4 linked regions of the Oryctolagus cuniculus genome follow. The protein of the gene in region 2 purifies or fractionates together with the protein of the main gene of each other region. This does not show direct contact. Links are inferred from orthologs where the notes say so. Each region holds a gene or a part of one and is shown on either strand. Other genes may lie near its edges.

Region 1 (4,087 bases), on a different chromosome or scaffold from region 2:
AAGAAATTGTTCCTCAAAAAAATCTTTTTCTTATTGCCTGGCACCATGATATTCACAGACCTAGCTTTAATATTCTGAAGAGGGTCCTGCTCATGTTAAAATTATCCCGGTATTTTCTGTTTTTAAAAATAACATGATTCCAACTTCATCCCAAATCTAGAATTTGAACTTGAAAATATTCAACTCACCTTAATTATGCTCAGATAAGCTATTTCAGAATCCCAAATCTGGACCCCTTTTCAGATAAGTTTAATTTGTTTCCAGTCCTAATATTCCTAAAATATTAATACCTTTAATAGACAATGGGTTGATAAAGAGAGGAAAAGGATTCTTTAGATAGAATACAGATTCAAGTTTTGTACTGAATCAGTAAAGTGAGTTATCTAATTACAACACCCTTGGAACTTTTTAAAACTCAGGTTTAGAATTTTAAGGAAGGCTGTAAAACACAATAGTTGTACAGTACAGTATTGACAGATTATCTATGATATTTTTCTTAACTTATTATATGGAGAATCAGATGCAATCATGGTTTTGTGTCTGTCTTGAGATCCTAGTGCCAGTATAAATCTACTGAACTGTCCTGCAACAAATAAAGATCGCCTTCCACATCAGCTTCAACAAGTTATCAACAACTACACAGAGAACACTGGTCTCAGGCATTTTAATATGTAAATAAAGGTGTACATCGCCTTGAAAAAAAAAAAGCATACATTTCATTTTCAAATAATCTTGTGTCATTACAGAGACTCTTATGATTTTATTCTTTAATATTAGTTACCTTTTGAACTATGTCGTTAGCAGGTATGAAAAATAAAAGCTCTTCCCTTGTAAAGTTATAGAAGAGGTATTTAAGAAGCTCATAAAAATGCTATTAGGAAAAATTATGCATGTATTTAAAACATTTTTGCACCAAAGTAAGCATCTTTTAATTCCATTTTCTATGAACTTTCTGAAATACTCTTGTATGTACTTCTCTGAAAAGTTTGAAAGATATTTTCAAAATCAACTCTTATTTTTAAAAATTAAAGGAGCACAAGATTTATATAACAAAGAACACTCCACTAGTTTGATGCCTATAAACTGAGAAAGTAACCCTATTCCTAGAAGTCATGGTGTCCGTGCACATATACGTGTGGGTATCCCCCTCTGAAGGGTATGTCGCGTTACCTATGGTTTCTAAGCAACGAATCACGTGAAAAACACAGAAATATGCTTTTCAAGCAATGCTAACTACAACTGGCCACCCATACTTACTTGTAAATCTTTCTTCAGTTTTAGCAAATCTTCATTTTCTCCATTTCCAGACAATGCAGCTTCCACTTGCTGGAGTTGAGCTTTGTAGCTTGCCAGCTGCTTTGCTAGATCCTCGGACATCTGAGGGGAAATATAAAAGGGTCACACTATAAAAATTAAACCAAAACTCCAACCATAAGGAAGAATTTCTCTACCTCCCTGAATTAACCAGTTTTGCTTCTAACTCCTTATTAATGCTGCACCTTCATTTACCACCATTACGTAGTCTTGGTCGAAACAACCTAAAGTACAAGGATCAAGGCGATAGATTCTGAAAACTACAACCGTGGGAGATGAATTCCATATAAAAAAAAAAAAAGCAGAAAAAGCAATAAAGAGGGAAAGGGACATTCCAATTTTCTTTAAACTCTGAAAGGCACTCTTCTGGGTTCAATGGTAAGGTTGTTACACCTTTAAAACGCATGAATCTGTGGGAAAAATCCATAAACTGTCAGAAAAAAGTTTCTGGGCATGAAAGAATGCTTCCAAGGCCACGTGAAAAGGGTTCTGAGTTACACAACTCACTCCCTCTCCGCGAACTATTCCACAGAGCGCCTTACCAAATTCTTTCCCCGAACTCTTTCACCCACTTAAGTACGTGTCTATGCACTTCTTCAGTAACAGAAAACAGCTCAAACACGGTTTATTTACGTACTGTAAGGAACGCGCCTTCCGCCAAACACAGCTCGTTCTCCCCCGAAAGACGCGAACTCACCTTTCCTCGAAGATTTCTAAGCAAACATTCAGGGTGTCCAAGAGCCCTGCACTTTCTCAAAACTCCCGTCCAAGCAAGCCCGGGACCCGGAAAGACCCCACAGGCTTGTTGAAGCAAGCCAGGCGGCTCTCCCCCCAGGAGCCAGCACCCCGAAACCCCCCCAAGCTCGGCCGATCGTGTCACCTCTCAAAATTCCAACAACAAATCAGCCGCCAAGGAAACCGCCAGAGGCTCTGGGCGCCGTCGGCGTCCCAGTCGCACCCAGGCCCCACGCCGGCCGGGGCGGCTCGAGGCTCCACTCGGCGTCGGAGGCAGTGGCTCTGAACACGCTCGCCGGCGCCCAGACCTCCGCGGCGAAGCCAGCTCCTCGGCCTCGGGCCTCCGCTTCCACTCGGGAGAGGCCGAGGCCCGGCGCGGCCTAACCCTCCCGAACGGGGTTTGTTACCTTGTGTGGGGTGGGGACGGGGCGGCGGGAAGGGAAGGGGGCAAATGAGCCCAGTGATGGCGGCGACGGCGACAGGAGCAGCAGCAGTAGGAAATATCTCCGCGACGACAACAAGGCCACTCGGTGTGAAAAGGAAGAACTCAGTCCGCAGAGAGGGGGAGGGGAGGAAAGCCGGGAGCTGGAAAGAGGAAAAGACAGAGAGGCAAATGAAGTCTCGCGAGACTTAGAAACCCTCGCGAGAGGTTCCTCTACCCACGTGACTCCTCGCGCCCTCTAAGCGGTCCGCTTTATTCGCGTTAGCGTCGCCTGGTAGGCGGAGCCAAATGCAACGGAAGTGGCGTAACTGAGGTGCGCCCGGCGCAGAATATACGTTAGTCTTACCTAAGTTCCGGCTGAAGCGTAGAGTATTTGGTGTGGGGCGCGGTTGGCGCTGTTGTGAGGTTTTTACTGAGGTTCCCGGAATAGTAATCTCGTGTGTCTCCTGGGCCCGTGGTGGTGGGAGGTACGCTGCAGCCTTTACGCTGCTAATTGGCTCTCAAAGCGCGGGTCCCGAACTCGCCTCATCTACTCCTCTTGGCGTTAGAAACGCAGATTCGCCGCCCCGGGTGGCCGGAGGCTAGAAGCTGTGGGTGGGTGCAGCAGTCTGTGTTAACAAGCCCGTTAGGTGACCCAGCGTCCACTCAAGTTGAAACCACCGCTGTGTACAATACAAAAGCGAAAAACGTCTCAGTGGCAACTGAAAGCTGTTTAAATTGTGGCGGAACCTATGAGAGAAGAGGTTGGTTTATTTCGTAGCCCTATTTGTTTTTCTTTTTTTGAGATTTATTTATATTTGAAAGGCAGAGTTACAGAGAGGAAGAGGCAAAGAAGATCGATCCATCCGCTGGTTCACTCCAGATGGCCACAGCGGCCAGAGCTGGCCCACTCGGAAACCAGAATCCAGGAGCTTCCTCCAGGTCTCCCACACTGGACTGCGTTTCCCGGCCATAGCTGCATCAGAGGTGGAGCAGCCGGGACTCAGGCCCGCCCCCACACGGGATGCTGGCACTGCAGGGGGCGCTTTACCCGCTACGCCACAGCGCCAGCCGCCCTTTTGGCTTTAAATAATTAGTTTAATCTCCCCTCGGGAACAGTCTCAAGTTGTAATCACAGATGATAAGTAGAGTGATAGGAACATTTCTTTTTATTTTTAGGGGAAGTGGGGAGGGGAGAGAAGAGGGGCAAAGAAAGAGGGCAAGAGAAAGATGAAGGAAGAAGAGGAAAAGAGAGGGGAATGGGGAGAAACTGCATTTATGCTTAAAAAAGAAACTCATAGGTGCTGGCTTGTGGCCCCCTGGTTAAGCCTCTGCCTGCAGTGCCAACATCCCATTTGGGCTCCACGTTGAGTTCTGGCTGCTCTACTTCCAATCCAGCTCCCTGCTAATGGGTCTGGGAAAGTAGCAGAAAATGGCCCAAGTGCTTGGACCCCTGGACCCACAAGGGAGACCTGGATGGAGTTCCAGGAACCTGACTCAGCTTTGGCTGTTGTGGCCATCTGGGGAGTGAACCAAAGAATGAAGGATCTCCGTCTTTCTCCCTTCACTGTAACTCTACCTTTCAAATAAATAACAAAAGAAATGGGTGTGTGTATG
Region 2 (4,755 bases):
CCTGCATGTTGGGCACCTGGACTTTGATGGACACTGGACCCTGCAAAACAGAAGGGGATCATTATGCCTGGGGACCCCTGAGCCAATCAGGAACTATGTTCTGCCATCCTGAGGGCACCTGGCTCTGGCCTGATTCTCTACTGACACACTTGTCATATTGTACAAGTCACACTCCCATATCAAGATGTGCTTTCTGTTTTCAAGTCCTCCTGCGAGTCTAGAGCTGAAATGAAGAGGTTGGGTAAAAATGCTCTGTGACACCCAAGAAGCACAAGTGTAAAAAAAAGTGGCCTGTAAAATCCAGACCTGATTCCCAACTCGGCTCATAAGGTCTCAGCCTGCCTGTACAACAGAGCTGATCAGAGCGACAGCAGAGCCCTGCGGTGAGCCCCACACGGAAAAGTGTCCCAAGGTGAGCTCCACCCTTGCACTTCGCTAAGTGCCCAAAACAGGACTCTCTTAAGAACGAAAACAGAAGATTTGGTCAAACGCACTGAGCCGTCAGGGGCTGCGGCTGTTTCTCGCCTCCTCACTGGAGCCCAGCAGCTTCCCTGGGGTGCAGCAGCACCACGGTTCCCACCTTCCTTTACTCTAGCACCCCAGCAAGGGCGAGGACTGCAGGAAAGGCCACACTGAGTTCATGAACCACACCCGGGCTTGCTTCAGGTGTCCAGGGCCCTCTCACCGAGCTGTGCCCCTGTGCAGTGGCTCTCCCTATGGCCTCCAGAGATGCCACACCAGGGGACCACCAACACTGTCACACTCAGCTCCTCTAGGTGTTAACCCACATTTACTGGGCGTCCCATCAGTCAAAAGCTTCCAGTGGCTAACCCAGACCCTGGAGGCCACCACCACGGGAGTGGAATGAGGTCAGCCGGGCACCATGTGACTAGGGTGAGACTGCAGCCCCTCCCCTAGACACCCCAGGCCACAGGTAGCACCCAGGGGTCACATACCTTGTTCCTGCGCAGGAACTCCTCCTCGGACATGAGACTGTCCTCTGTCTTGAGTTTCTTGGAGGCAGGCTCATCCTCCATGGGAGGTGGAGGGTGAACAGGGGGCATTGGGGCTGGAGCTGGGACAGGGGCCACAGGTGGCGCAGGCACAAAGGCTGCAAGGACAGGAACAGACAGACCCGTGAGTGGGGGCAAGGGGCCCAGACTCAGGGCTAGTGAGGATGTGAGGTCTTTTGGCCTATCAGGTGTGAGGTGCCACTCTCCACTGAGTCTGGCAGCCAGCAGGTTCCCTGGCAGAGGGCCCAGGGAGGCTGCCCAGACTGTGCAGCGAGGCACTGGAGGAAGGGCAGGACCGATGGATGGAGCAGGCGCCTGCCTGGGGCCTGACCCAGGTGCACAGGCACAATTCAGTCTATCTCCCCCAGGAGCTGCGGCCCCTACTGCTCCACTGGGCCGCACACCCAGCTGAAGAGCTGGCACTACTCCCAGCAGCCACTGCTCTGCAGACAATGCTTGGCCTGCAGCCCAACCCGATGGCCACGAGAGCGACACAACACACTGACCTGTTGGCACGATCATGGGTGGTGGCCGGGGTGCCATGATAGGAGGTGCTGAGGGAGGCATGGGCACCACATTGATCCTGGGTGCGTGGATGATGGGTGGCATGGGCGCAATCACCGAGCCCGGGGGCAGCCGGACCACGGATGCCATCGGGGGCCGGGGCATGACAGGTACCGCAGACACAACTGTAGTACGGACGGGAGGTGGCATCTGCAAGAAGGAAGAGACCCAGAGGTCACAGGAAGCCAAGATTGGGCCCCAAGGGCACGTGCAGCTGGCAGTGAGCCACCTGGAGCTCTGAGAATGGGCGCTGGACAGCTCCGATTCTGCCCCGCGTGGCCCAGAGACTGCAGTCTCACACTGGGCATCTGAGAGAAACTCTGCAACGACAGAACCAGGGCCACTTTCTCCACACGGGACTCAGACGATTGGAGTCCATCACTGACCCTGACTCAGCCTCCTGGAGGCCAGCAGGCCTGAGACGCAGGAAGCCCTGAGGCCCGTCCACCTCAGATCTGCTCCTCACCTGCCACTTGCTCCCTGCCCGTTCCAATCCTCCCCTGTGGATGGAAGACTGGCTTCGAGGTGCTCCATTTAAAGGGTTCTTTTTAACTTGACTCACGAGCACTCAGAATTGCTGTTAAAGAGCAGCCACGCTCAGTCAGCAGAATTCAACCCCGGGGACTGAACTCTTTAGTCAATTACAGGGGCCGGCACTGTGGCATAGCAGGTAAAGCCACCGCCTGCGGTGCCGGCATCCCATGTGGGCGCTGGTTTGAGTCCTTGCGCTCCACTTCCCATCCAGCTCTCTGCTGTGGCCTGGGAAGGCAGTAGAAGATAACCCAAGTCCTTGGGCCCCTGCACCCACGTGGGAGATCTGGAAGAAGCTCCTGGCTCCTGATCGGTGCATTCTGGCCGTTGCAGCCAACTGGGGAGTGAACCAGAGGATGAAGACCTCTCTCTCTCTCTGCCTTTCAAATAAATAAATTAAATAAATCCTAAAGTGAGTCACAGGCTGGCTGCTGGCTTACCGCGGGTGGGCGAGGCACTGAAGTGATGGGTGGGGCTGAGCTGGGGATGTTTGTGGCTGAAGACGGAGGTGGCGGCTGCTGGGGGATTTCATTGGGCTTGCTGGGGCCAATCTTCTCTTTGGTGTCGTCCTCTGGCACCAGGCCCTTGGCCTTGTGGATGGCCTCAATCTGCTCCTGGAGGGTGATGTTGGCCTGCGCGGCCTGCTGAGTGCGGGCCATGCTGCCCGAGTGGCCATCCCAGGTCACCTGCCAGGGAGAGCAACGCCAGAGATTGTCAGGACTCCTGGGACTTAAGCCCGGACGGGGCAGGCCAGGGCAGGGAGGGCACCAGGATCCCCTGCAGCCGCACCTTCTCCTCCGGCTTCTGGATCTCCTCCTCGCCGATCTTCTTCCCGATGGCCGTTTCCTCAACACCGAAGATGTCAGTTCGCCGCTCAGCCAGCTGCTTCAAGCTGCTCTCAATATCCAGACCTGCACGCAGTCACACATGGGGGCAGGCAGCAGGGATGAGAACTAAACTCAGTGCCTGCTGACAAGGCAGCAACTTGCCTCGTGCGCAGGGCAGAGGCGGCAGACTCTGGGCCCCAGCACAGCACTCCCATGCGCTGGGGAAGGCTGTCCAGTCGGCCCTACGCCTCAACACCCAGCGCCAGCGCCTGTCCGATCCCTGGCTCACACGGGAAGGTGGGCCAGAGAAAGCAGCTGTGAGGACAGGATGCCAAGACGACTGAGCAGCAGTCAGGACGAAAAGCCTGGTCCCTTGCTGGCACAACACCCTCCCTACGGTGCTGCAGGCGCCAGCCCACCAGGTTTCACCCCAAGGAGCTCGGTGTCCCAGCCATCAGCGTCCTCATGCTAGGGCAGCATGGGAAGGGAGCACCCCTCCTAGCCGTAAGGGGCCCATCATCTATACCAGCGCCTGCCTCTGGAACATTCCGAGAGAGAGCTCCTGTGTAACACAGAAGGCTTCATCCACCCTCAAAAGCTGCTGGTAGCCGTAATCACTGCTTCCTGTTTGCTTAAAGCAACGCAACTGCGACCCGCAGACTGCCACGGGCTGGGCAGGGCCCCAGCTCACCTGGCGCATACACCTCATCGTCGCTCTGCTTCTCGCGGATGGAGCGGTCCCGCTGCTCCAGCCAACGGGGGTCAAGGAGCCCGATGCGCATGTGTTCCTGCATCTTGCTGGCAGGGATCTTCTCCCCCGTGATGGGAGACACGAGATACTCATCCGGGGCAGGGGCCGGAGGCAGGGGCTTGGAAGCTAAAAGGAAAAGACTTCTGAGAACACCGCAGGGGTGTGTGTGTGTGTGTGTGTGTGTGGCCTGGTGAAGAGGTGGCATTTCATTCATGCATCATTCAAGTGAGACACATCCACTCAGTGCCACCCTCGAGCCTGGCACCAGGGCACCAAAAGTGATGAGGCCTGTTCTAGAGAAGGCGATCAGTGCTTGTACAAGGCTGCCTTGAGACCTCCCGGTCTATGGAATGAGCAGGGCACACAGGTCTGGGAGCAGCCATACCTTTGGGATCATAGTCTTTGCGGACGATGACTTGGTCTGGAGTTGGGGGCAGAGGTGGAGGCATGGGCGTCTCTGGAGGTGGGGGCACTTTTTGCCCTTCTTCTTCATCATCTGAACCCTGAAATGCAAAGCCATGGTAGGTCTCAGAGAGGGCACAGAGCCACCTCCCTGTGGCTAAGCCCCGGAAGCCGAGGATAGCAAAGAGTCTTGGCCCCCGCCAGGCCATGTCCACGTGCTAAGCCTCGCAGGGCAGCCGAGGCCAGCCGGCAGCAGGCCAAGCTGCTTCCTCACAGCATGAATGGGAGCGCTGGGGGCCATGCGCTAACACTCCTCCCAGGCACTTCCAGCAGTTGGCACCAGGCAGTCCCAAGAGGCCAAGGGCACTTAACACACTGGGGAGGGGTGTCGGGCGTGAGTCAGTACTCAATGCAGCCGCTCACAGGGCAATGCTGGGAGGGAGCGAAAAAGTCAATTCCCACAGACACAGGGGCCCTTTCTTCTCGGGCTGCACACAAATTCTTTTTGGAGGGGGGAGAGCAGGGTAGCTCTGGAGACTATGCTGCTCGGAAGGCCTGGGCTGCACGGGCAGGGCCGTCTGGAAGGAGTGCACACCACGTTTAGAACAGCTCTGGAACTGCTGATCATCCGGGGCTGGCTAAATGCACCCGCATGGGGCGGTGCAGG
Region 3 (4,001 bases), on a different chromosome or scaffold from region 2:
CCCTGTACCGGACGGGGAACCCGGGGCCCGCGGCCGTGCACGCTCAGACCTCTCTGGTTGCCTGCTGGGCGCGGCACCCCCCACTCAACGGAAGGAGCTACTGCTCCCATGGGGAATTGAGCCCCTCTCCCCCACTTCTTCTTCTTCTTCTTTTTAAAGATTTGTTTATTGGAAAGGCAGGGTTACAGAGAGAGAGGAGAGGTCTTCCATCCGCTGGGTCACTCCCCAATTGGCCACATCGGCCGGAGCTGCGCCGACCCAAAGCCAGGACCCAGGAGCTTCTTCCAGGTCTCCCACGCGGGTGCAGGGACCCAAGCACTTGGGCCATCTTCCTCCACTGCTTCCCCAGGCACATCAGCAGGGAGCTGGATCGGAGGAGGAGAACTGGAACCAGCGCCCACATGGGACGCGGCACTGCCGGTGGCACTGCAGGCAGCGGCGTTCCCGGGGCTCCGCCGCAGCGCGGCCCCTCCTACGTGTGACCAGCGCTTCGACAGCACAGGAGGACCCAGTTCTAGAGTGGTCTGCGGAGCTCGTTTTCGGAACCCAGCACAGACGTGTGTTTCTTCTGCGCTGACCCATCGGTGTCCCTCGCGCAGCCTCTGACACGCTGCCCACACGCGTGACGCTCGCTCATCTGCAGACTACAGTGACGACCTCACGGACCGTCAACACAGGACATCACTGTCTGGCATTCTAGACTTGTCTCACGTTCAAACATTTGTCAAAGCAACACGAGTCCAATAAAGAAAACCCAGGGAGCCAACCGCACTGAGCCCACAGGAGGCACTGCTTGAGTCACCCCCTAGGGGACGGCCGCTGGGCGCTGACCAAGCGACCCGGGCGCAGACGGCTCTGCCCGACTCCTGCGCGAGCCGTGAACGGACCCAGGCACCTGTCGTCATCCGAGGCAGCCCAGCTCCGCCATGCAGCCCCACGGGGACCTGCCAGAGGGGAGCACCACTCCCCAGACTAACACGTCTTGCCTGGGTACGCAGAGCACTGCTCCCTGACCTGTCCCTGCCCCCGCGCTGCCCCGCGGCTCCTGTGTGCAAAGGCTGCCGCGAGACCCTACCCCACAGGGCGCGGGCAGGGCCAAGGCCCACTTCCGTGTTCCCCGGGCTCACATCCAGACCGGGACACCTGTCAGACAGAAAGGGGCTCTGTGGGCGCTCAGCGCCCTCGACACACGGCCCCCAAGGAGGCCCCGACCGGCTTCCCGGGGAAGAAGCCGTAGGGTCTCCACGGACCCTCCTGGGACTGTGCTGCCCAAGCAGAGGCTCCCGCCAGCCAGCCGCCACCAGCAGCCCACGCCACACCTTGCTGGCGACGGGAGATGGCCGAGTCCCCGGTCCTTGACTCTGGGCATCAGTGTCCTGTTTTGAGACGAACGCGGCTTGGCCGATACCCCAGCGCGCGCCCCACAGCCTGCGAGGTGCAAAGCACCCGGCGGTCTCCCGGCAGGCCCTGCGCGCTCCAGTGCTCTGCTCCAGGGCAGCGAGCCGGCCTCTGCAGACACCCCAGCAGCAGGAAGGGCCGGGAAGTGCCCGCGCGTGGACAGCACCTTCCTCCTCACCCGCGCGCCGGGGCCTGGGGGTCTTCCTCCCTCCAAGTCAGAAGCTGCAGCGCACCCGTCCACAGCCTGGGCGGAGCGAGCCTGCCCTGCTCGGGCGGCCAGCAGTCCCCACCGCACAGGTCCAGCGGGCTCTGGCGACCGAGGACAGCCGGGCCGAGCCCTGAACGGAGCCGCCCATCTGAACCGCTGCCTCGCGTTCTGACCGACGACCCCACGCAGGCACGGGGCCTACAGGACGGGGGCCGGTGTCGGACGCCAGGGCCACCGACACCGGCCTGCTGCCCGGGGCAGGGCCACGGCGCGCCCGTCTGCTCTGGGGAGAACCCACGAAGCCGCCTCTGCAGCGTGGGGCATTTCCCACGGAGACTGTGGGGCGCGAGCGTGCTGGGACGCGCTCAGACGACAAGCGTCAGGGCAGGCTGCGAGCCGCCTCCACCGGGGCTGGGAGGCGGGAATCAGCCAGGTCCCGGCCGAGCTCTGCGAACGCGGACCTCGGCACCGGGAAAGCGACGGATCAGAGTCCCGCACCCCGACGGGACCCCCGCACTTGCGAAGCCAAACTCTCCGTCTGTCCAAACGGGTCCGGAGGCCGACGGCCCTGGAGGAGCCGGCTCCGCGAGTCAGGAATCGGGCTCCCGCCAGGGCACGGCCGCAGGTCGTGAGGGCTGAGGTCCCCCCCAGCGCCAGCGGCCCCGGGGCCCCGAAGCCGCGGGACCGAGTTCCACGGGCTCCGCCGGGCTCCAAGTTCTCCGAGCGCCCACGGGCGAGCCGCGCCGGCCACTCCGGGCGGGCCCGCGCGCTCCTCGCGCCGCGCGCCGCAAGCATGTGCCGCGCGAGTGGCCCGGAAGAGAAATGACAGCTTCGGCGAAACGCACACCGCGGCGCGGCCCGGCCCGCGCCGCCCCGGCACCCACTTCCCGGCCGAGAGCCACGCCGCGGCCGCGGCTGCGCACCGCCGGGCCCCGGGCCTCGCTCCCGCCGCCGCGGCCTGCCCGCCGCCCGCCGGCCGCTTACCTCAGCGCGAGGGCGGGGAGGAGGCCACGGCGCCGCTGGAGTCGGGGCGGCGCGGAGAAGACGCTGCTTGGCCCTTCCGCTTCTCACAGGCTCCGGCTTTCGGGGCGGCGCGGGCGGAACAAACGGGCTCCACTACCCGCGGAGTACGGCCATTGTGCGACGTCATCGGGCCGCGACCGCCGTCCGGCCGGCCGGCGGGCTTCCCTCTCTGGCCCCGCCCCCCGCCGCTTCCTTCCGGCCTCGACGCGGGCGCCTCGGCGCGGCCCCGCGCGGCGCGCTCCCGCCGAGCCTCCCACTGCGCAAGCGCAGCCTGGCGCCCCGCCCCTCCGGGGGCGGACCCGGGCCCGCGCTGTCCGACGGCGCCCGCGAGGGGGCTCCCCGCGCCGCCCGTTCCCGCAGGGGCGCCGGGTGCGGTGCGTGGGTGCGGCTCGAGGCGTGCTGGAGGTTCGTCACGAAGCTTAAAGATCTTTTTTATTTGAAAGGCGGAAGGAGTTCCCGGCCCCCGGCCTCCCGAGCGCGCGCAGCCACCGGGAGCCACGCCTCCCTCCGGGCGTCCCGCAGGGAGGCGGGGGCTTGTGAGGCAAATCGGCTTTTCCCCAGAGGGAGCGGATGGCGGGGCTTGCCCCCGGTCCGAGACTTTCCAGGACTCCCCACGATTATTGAGTTGGCCAGTTTCTGCCAGTTTTTCTGACTCCCTCCGCCACGTCGCCTGCTAGGTTTGCCACGCCCCCATCCGACTGAGCCTATGAGCAGCGGTGTGGGCTTGTGCCTCCACCAATCAGGACGAGGGGGCGTGGCCACCGCGACGACATAAAAGGGATCGGCCTGCGGGCGGCTCCCCGGGGTCCTCGCCGGCCACACTGTGCGGCCGGGGGTCTCTATGAGGCTCGGTCCGGGATCCCCGCCCTCGGGTGCGCGCCGAGCCGCCCCCTCGCTGGGAGACGCGGGTCTGCCCTGCGGCTGCCTCGGATCCGGGTCTTCCCGGGACTGAAATCCCAGCCGCGCGGGCTGGGCCCCGGCCCGGGCCAGGACGCCGTCGTGTGACGCGGCCCCGGGTGGTCGGCACGTCCCGGAGGCGGCTGGAAGGAACGGGCCTGCGCGGCGCCCGAGATGGAGAGGCGCTCGGGCCTCCGGGCCGCCTCGCTGACCACGCCCAGCAGCACGGCGACGAGGGTCCCGACAGAAACGCGAGACGCCCCCGGGAGTCGGCCCGACGACGAGCCGCAGCCGGTGAGGACTGGGTCTGGCAGCTGCCAATCCGGCGTGAGTGACAGGACGCCCTCCCGCTGAAGGCTCCGCTGCTCGGACGGGAAGTGCCACAGCGTTAGGGGTGTCCGGAACCGCCGACCAGAGTGAGGCCAGAAAGTGCTCCCCCTGCTGCGGTCCCCGGGGTGGGTCCTGGGTTGGGTAA
Region 4 (3,286 bases), on a different chromosome or scaffold from region 2:
CAGGCACTGGTCTCATTTGAGGAGAGGAGCTCAGCTGAGTCTATGCCAACAGACAAAAAGAAATATCCACTCTTGTCGCTCCCCGTCTTTGTGGAGGAATGACACAGGACCCTGCGCTGTTCTTTTGTCTGCTCGGCCCTCCCCGGGTTTGCTGCTGGTTCTTCCCGGGTTGGCTACCGTCCCTTCCACCTCCGTGGAAGGGCGGTTCCCCCTGCCACTTTCCCCACTTCCGCGGGGGAGCGGCACACCGCTGGCCGGCTCTCTTGGGGGCTGCACAGGTGTTCCTTCAGATAGATGTTCCTGGTGCATGTTGTCTCTCTCCTCCTTTATAGTCCTCTTCCACCAATCCCAACTCTGCTACCCACACGCCGAGTACGCTGCTCCCCTCCAATCAGGAGCAGGTCCTGCTGTTTATTGGTTGAACTGGAGGCAGCTGTGTAGAAGCTGTTTCCTCCTCTCCCAGCGCCATATTGTGGGAGAGCAGATGCATAAAATAAGTCTTTCTTTCTTTTTTTTTTTTTAACGATCTCAGTAGAAAACTATTATACATAAAGATTCTTACCACTAACGAATGCAGACAGGCTAGGAGACGATGGAACTGGATGGAGGCTGGCTAGCTCTTTGGAAAGTGAACAGGTTTAGGTGGCTTAGTGTCATGCTGCACTGATTGGTCGGGCAGACGGGAGGACAGGTGCCAAACACCAGGCGGGGGTAGGGGGCATCAGGGCATGAGTGTAACTGCTCTCTCTGCCCACTCTGCCTTCCTGTGACCTGGGCTTCGGAGGATGGCACACCCAGAAGCAAGCGACTGAAGCAAGGGGGCTTCCTGTGGTGGCCCAGGCTCGTCTCTGAAGTCACGGCGACACCACTGTAAGCAAGATGTTTAATGGGATGATCTCCACAAACTACACACAGGTTTCTAACCATCACATCCATCACACGCAGTGAAGTACAAAACATTAAGTTACAGGCTGTGGGGGAGAAGGTAGCACCCAGGGTGGCACCTTCCAGTCCTGGTTGTTCTAGGGTGGGGGTGGGAGAGAAGGTCTTTGTTTAAACTGAGCCCCTCATTTCAATGTACAAAAGAATTACTCTGATCGATATTAAATTGTATTGAAAACAAAATGAACTAAAAAGCAAATACTACTCTATGTTGGGGTGGAAGTGGAGGAAAGAATGAGTCCTTCAAAGCAGGGAGGGAGACGGCTGGGGGAAGGTTCCGTGCTGTGACCCCGGGCGGTCACTCACGCTGCTCCATTTTTACTTTCGGTGGTCTCAGGAAGGTCCAGTTCTTCTTCTCTTTCTTCCCCTTTGTATTTGCTTGGAAGTTCCGCCAGCTGTCCACGCGCCCATCTCGACTTTCCTCGAAGTTTTTCTGCCACTCCCGCTTGCGTTTGGCTTTTTCTTGAGCTTCAATCTCTTCTTCCTGCTGTCGTTTCCTTTCATGCATCTCTTTGGCTTCTCTTTCTTTCCTTTTAATTTCCAGCTCAGCAAAGAGTTTCATGGTCTGTTTATATACTGCTTGTTTGAACAGCTCAGGATCATCCTCCTCTACATTTGTAGGTTTTCCTTCCTTCTTTAACTGTTTTTTTCGTTCTTTCACAGTGTGTTCCACGTATTCTTTTCCTGCCTGAATTACATCCAGGGTCCTCTTCTTTTGCTCCTGATCCAGTAGCAACTTGTAAGCTTTGTCCACAGCTTCAGAAGCCTTTTGTGCTCTGTCAGCATCATCTTGATTTTTGTCAGGATGCACCAATATGGATAACTGCCGAAATCTCTTTTTTATTTCTTCATCTGTCACTTCAGGATCTATCTGAAGAACCTCAAATGGATTCAAATTGAAGTAAGAGGAACCAGGACGTGTCAACCTTTCAATCTGATTTTTGGACGTAAGAACTGAATCTCTCTTCTCTGTTTGTTTCACCTCACTGTAGAAGGTCATAAAAGCTTCCTCTGTGCTGCCTCCACCGGCCGAAACCCCACTCTCTCCTGAAGCCGCCATTTCCCCGGCCCCAAAATAAGTCTTAATTCCAGTAACTTAGTCTAGTCCGAGTTGCTCCCAGTTGCTCCCCACACACTCTGATAAAAAAAAAGAGGAGATTTACCATGCTAAACCTGGGTGTGTCATATCAGGTACGCCGTTCACCAGGGAGCAATGAACAGAGCTTCTTGGCCACACCCAGCATATGCTTCTAGGTATTCCCTGAAAGCAGACAGTCCACTAATCCACACAGACATAGTCCAAAGATAAAAGCCAACACAGTGAAAAAACAAAGGAGCCAAGGTGTATCTCCACAAATGCCAAATAACAAACACACCAATTCAAGAAATAAGAATAATGAAGACAACATGATACCCCCAAAAGAACACAACAGTAAAGTACTAGATTGTGAAGATGATGAAATTGAAGAAATGCCAGAAATGAAATTCAAAAAATTGTTCATAGGATTACTTAGAAGTAAGCAGAAGCAAATGCATGAGCTAATGAAATTCATACATGACAGGAAAGATAATTTCTGCCATGAAATTGAGATCTTAAAGAGAAATCAAAATGAAATCTTGGAAATGAAGAATTCAGTGTAACAAATAAAAAATGCAGTGGGAAGCCTTAACAACAGAATCGGTGAAGCAGAAGAAAGAATATCTGACATAGAAGACAAAGCACAGGATATTATACAGTCAGGCTAAACACAAGAAGAAATTAGAAAACAAACAAAAAAACACTGTTGGGATTCTACAGGGTACTATCAAATGGCCCACCATAAAATTTCTAGGAGTTCTGAAGTTGTGGAAAGAGAGAAAGGGTTAGAAGCCCTTTTTAGTGCCTAATTTGGAGAAAGAAAGGGACATCCAAGTATAGGAAGCACATAAAAATCCTGATAGACATGACCAGAAAATATCTTCACCACGACACATTGTAATAAAACTCACCACAGTTAAAACGTGAAGAAAAGATTCTAAAATGTACATGAGAAAAATGCCAGATTACTGTCAGAGGATCTCCAATTAGACTCATAGCAGACTTCTCATCAGAAACCTTACAGACTAGGAGAGAATGATGAGATATATTCCAAGTCTTAAGACCAGAATACTATGCCTTTCATAGCTCTCATTTATAAATGAAGGTGAAATACAGACTTTCCAAGACAAATAGAAATTAAAAGAACTTGTTACCACCTGTCCAGCCCTGAAGAAGATGCTTAAGGATGTGTTGCACACAGAAACATAGAAACATGGTCATCATCTTATAGCCGGCGCCGTGGCTCAATAGGCTAATCCTCCACCT

What was found.
Region 1: the proteins of SF3A1 (region 2) and SMNDC1 purify together in Homo sapiens (affinity purification with mass spectrometry; 3 studies listed by BioGRID and IntAct, with this or other methods). This does not show direct contact. The link is inferred for Oryctolagus cuniculus from reciprocal best matches to the Homo sapiens genes SF3A1 and SMNDC1.
Region 3: the proteins of SF3A1 (region 2) and ZC3H18 purify together in Homo sapiens (affinity purification with mass spectrometry; 3 studies listed by BioGRID and IntAct, with this or other methods). This does not show direct contact. The link is inferred for Oryctolagus cuniculus from reciprocal best matches to the Homo sapiens genes SF3A1 and ZC3H18.
Region 4: the proteins of SF3A1 (region 2) and dnaJ homolog subfamily C member 8 purify together in Homo sapiens (affinity purification with mass spectrometry; 4 studies listed by BioGRID and IntAct, with this or other methods). This does not show direct contact. The link is inferred for Oryctolagus cuniculus from reciprocal best matches to the Homo sapiens genes SF3A1 and DNAJC8.

Annotation. Positions count from the first base shown.
Region 1 is NC_091446.1:19,938,295-19,942,381, reverse strand, and holds the start of SMNDC1 (survival of motor neuron-related-splicing factor 30), read right to left. Parts: upstream 2,801-4,087; 5' UTR 2,457-2,800; intron 1,378-2,456; coding exon 1,258-1,377; intron 1-1,257. UniProt on the Homo sapiens protein: Involved in spliceosome assembly.
Region 2 is NC_091452.1:23,645,406-23,650,160, forward strand, and holds part of SF3A1 (splicing factor 3A subunit 1), read right to left. Parts: intron 4,190-4,755; coding exon 4,072-4,189; intron 3,813-4,071; coding exon 3,627-3,812; intron 3,020-3,626; coding exon 2,898-3,019; intron 2,795-2,897; coding exon 2,549-2,794; intron 1,728-2,548; coding exon 1,520-1,727; intron 1,112-1,519; coding exon 957-1,111; intron 41-956; coding exon 1-40. UniProt on the Homo sapiens protein: Component of the 17S U2 SnRNP complex of the spliceosome, a large ribonucleoprotein complex that removes introns from transcribed pre-mRNAs.
Region 3 is NC_091449.1:68,622,406-68,626,406, reverse strand, and holds the start of ZC3H18 (zinc finger CCCH domain-containing protein 18), read right to left. Parts: upstream 2,801-4,001; 5' UTR 2,591-2,800; intron 1-2,590.
Region 4 is NC_091439.1:132,307,648-132,310,933, forward strand, and holds dnaJ homolog subfamily C member 8, read right to left. Parts: upstream 2,016-3,286; 5' UTR 2,003-2,015; coding exon 1,241-2,002; 3' UTR 501-1,240; downstream 1-500. UniProt on the Homo sapiens protein: Suppresses polyglutamine (polyQ) aggregation of ATXN3 in neuronal cells.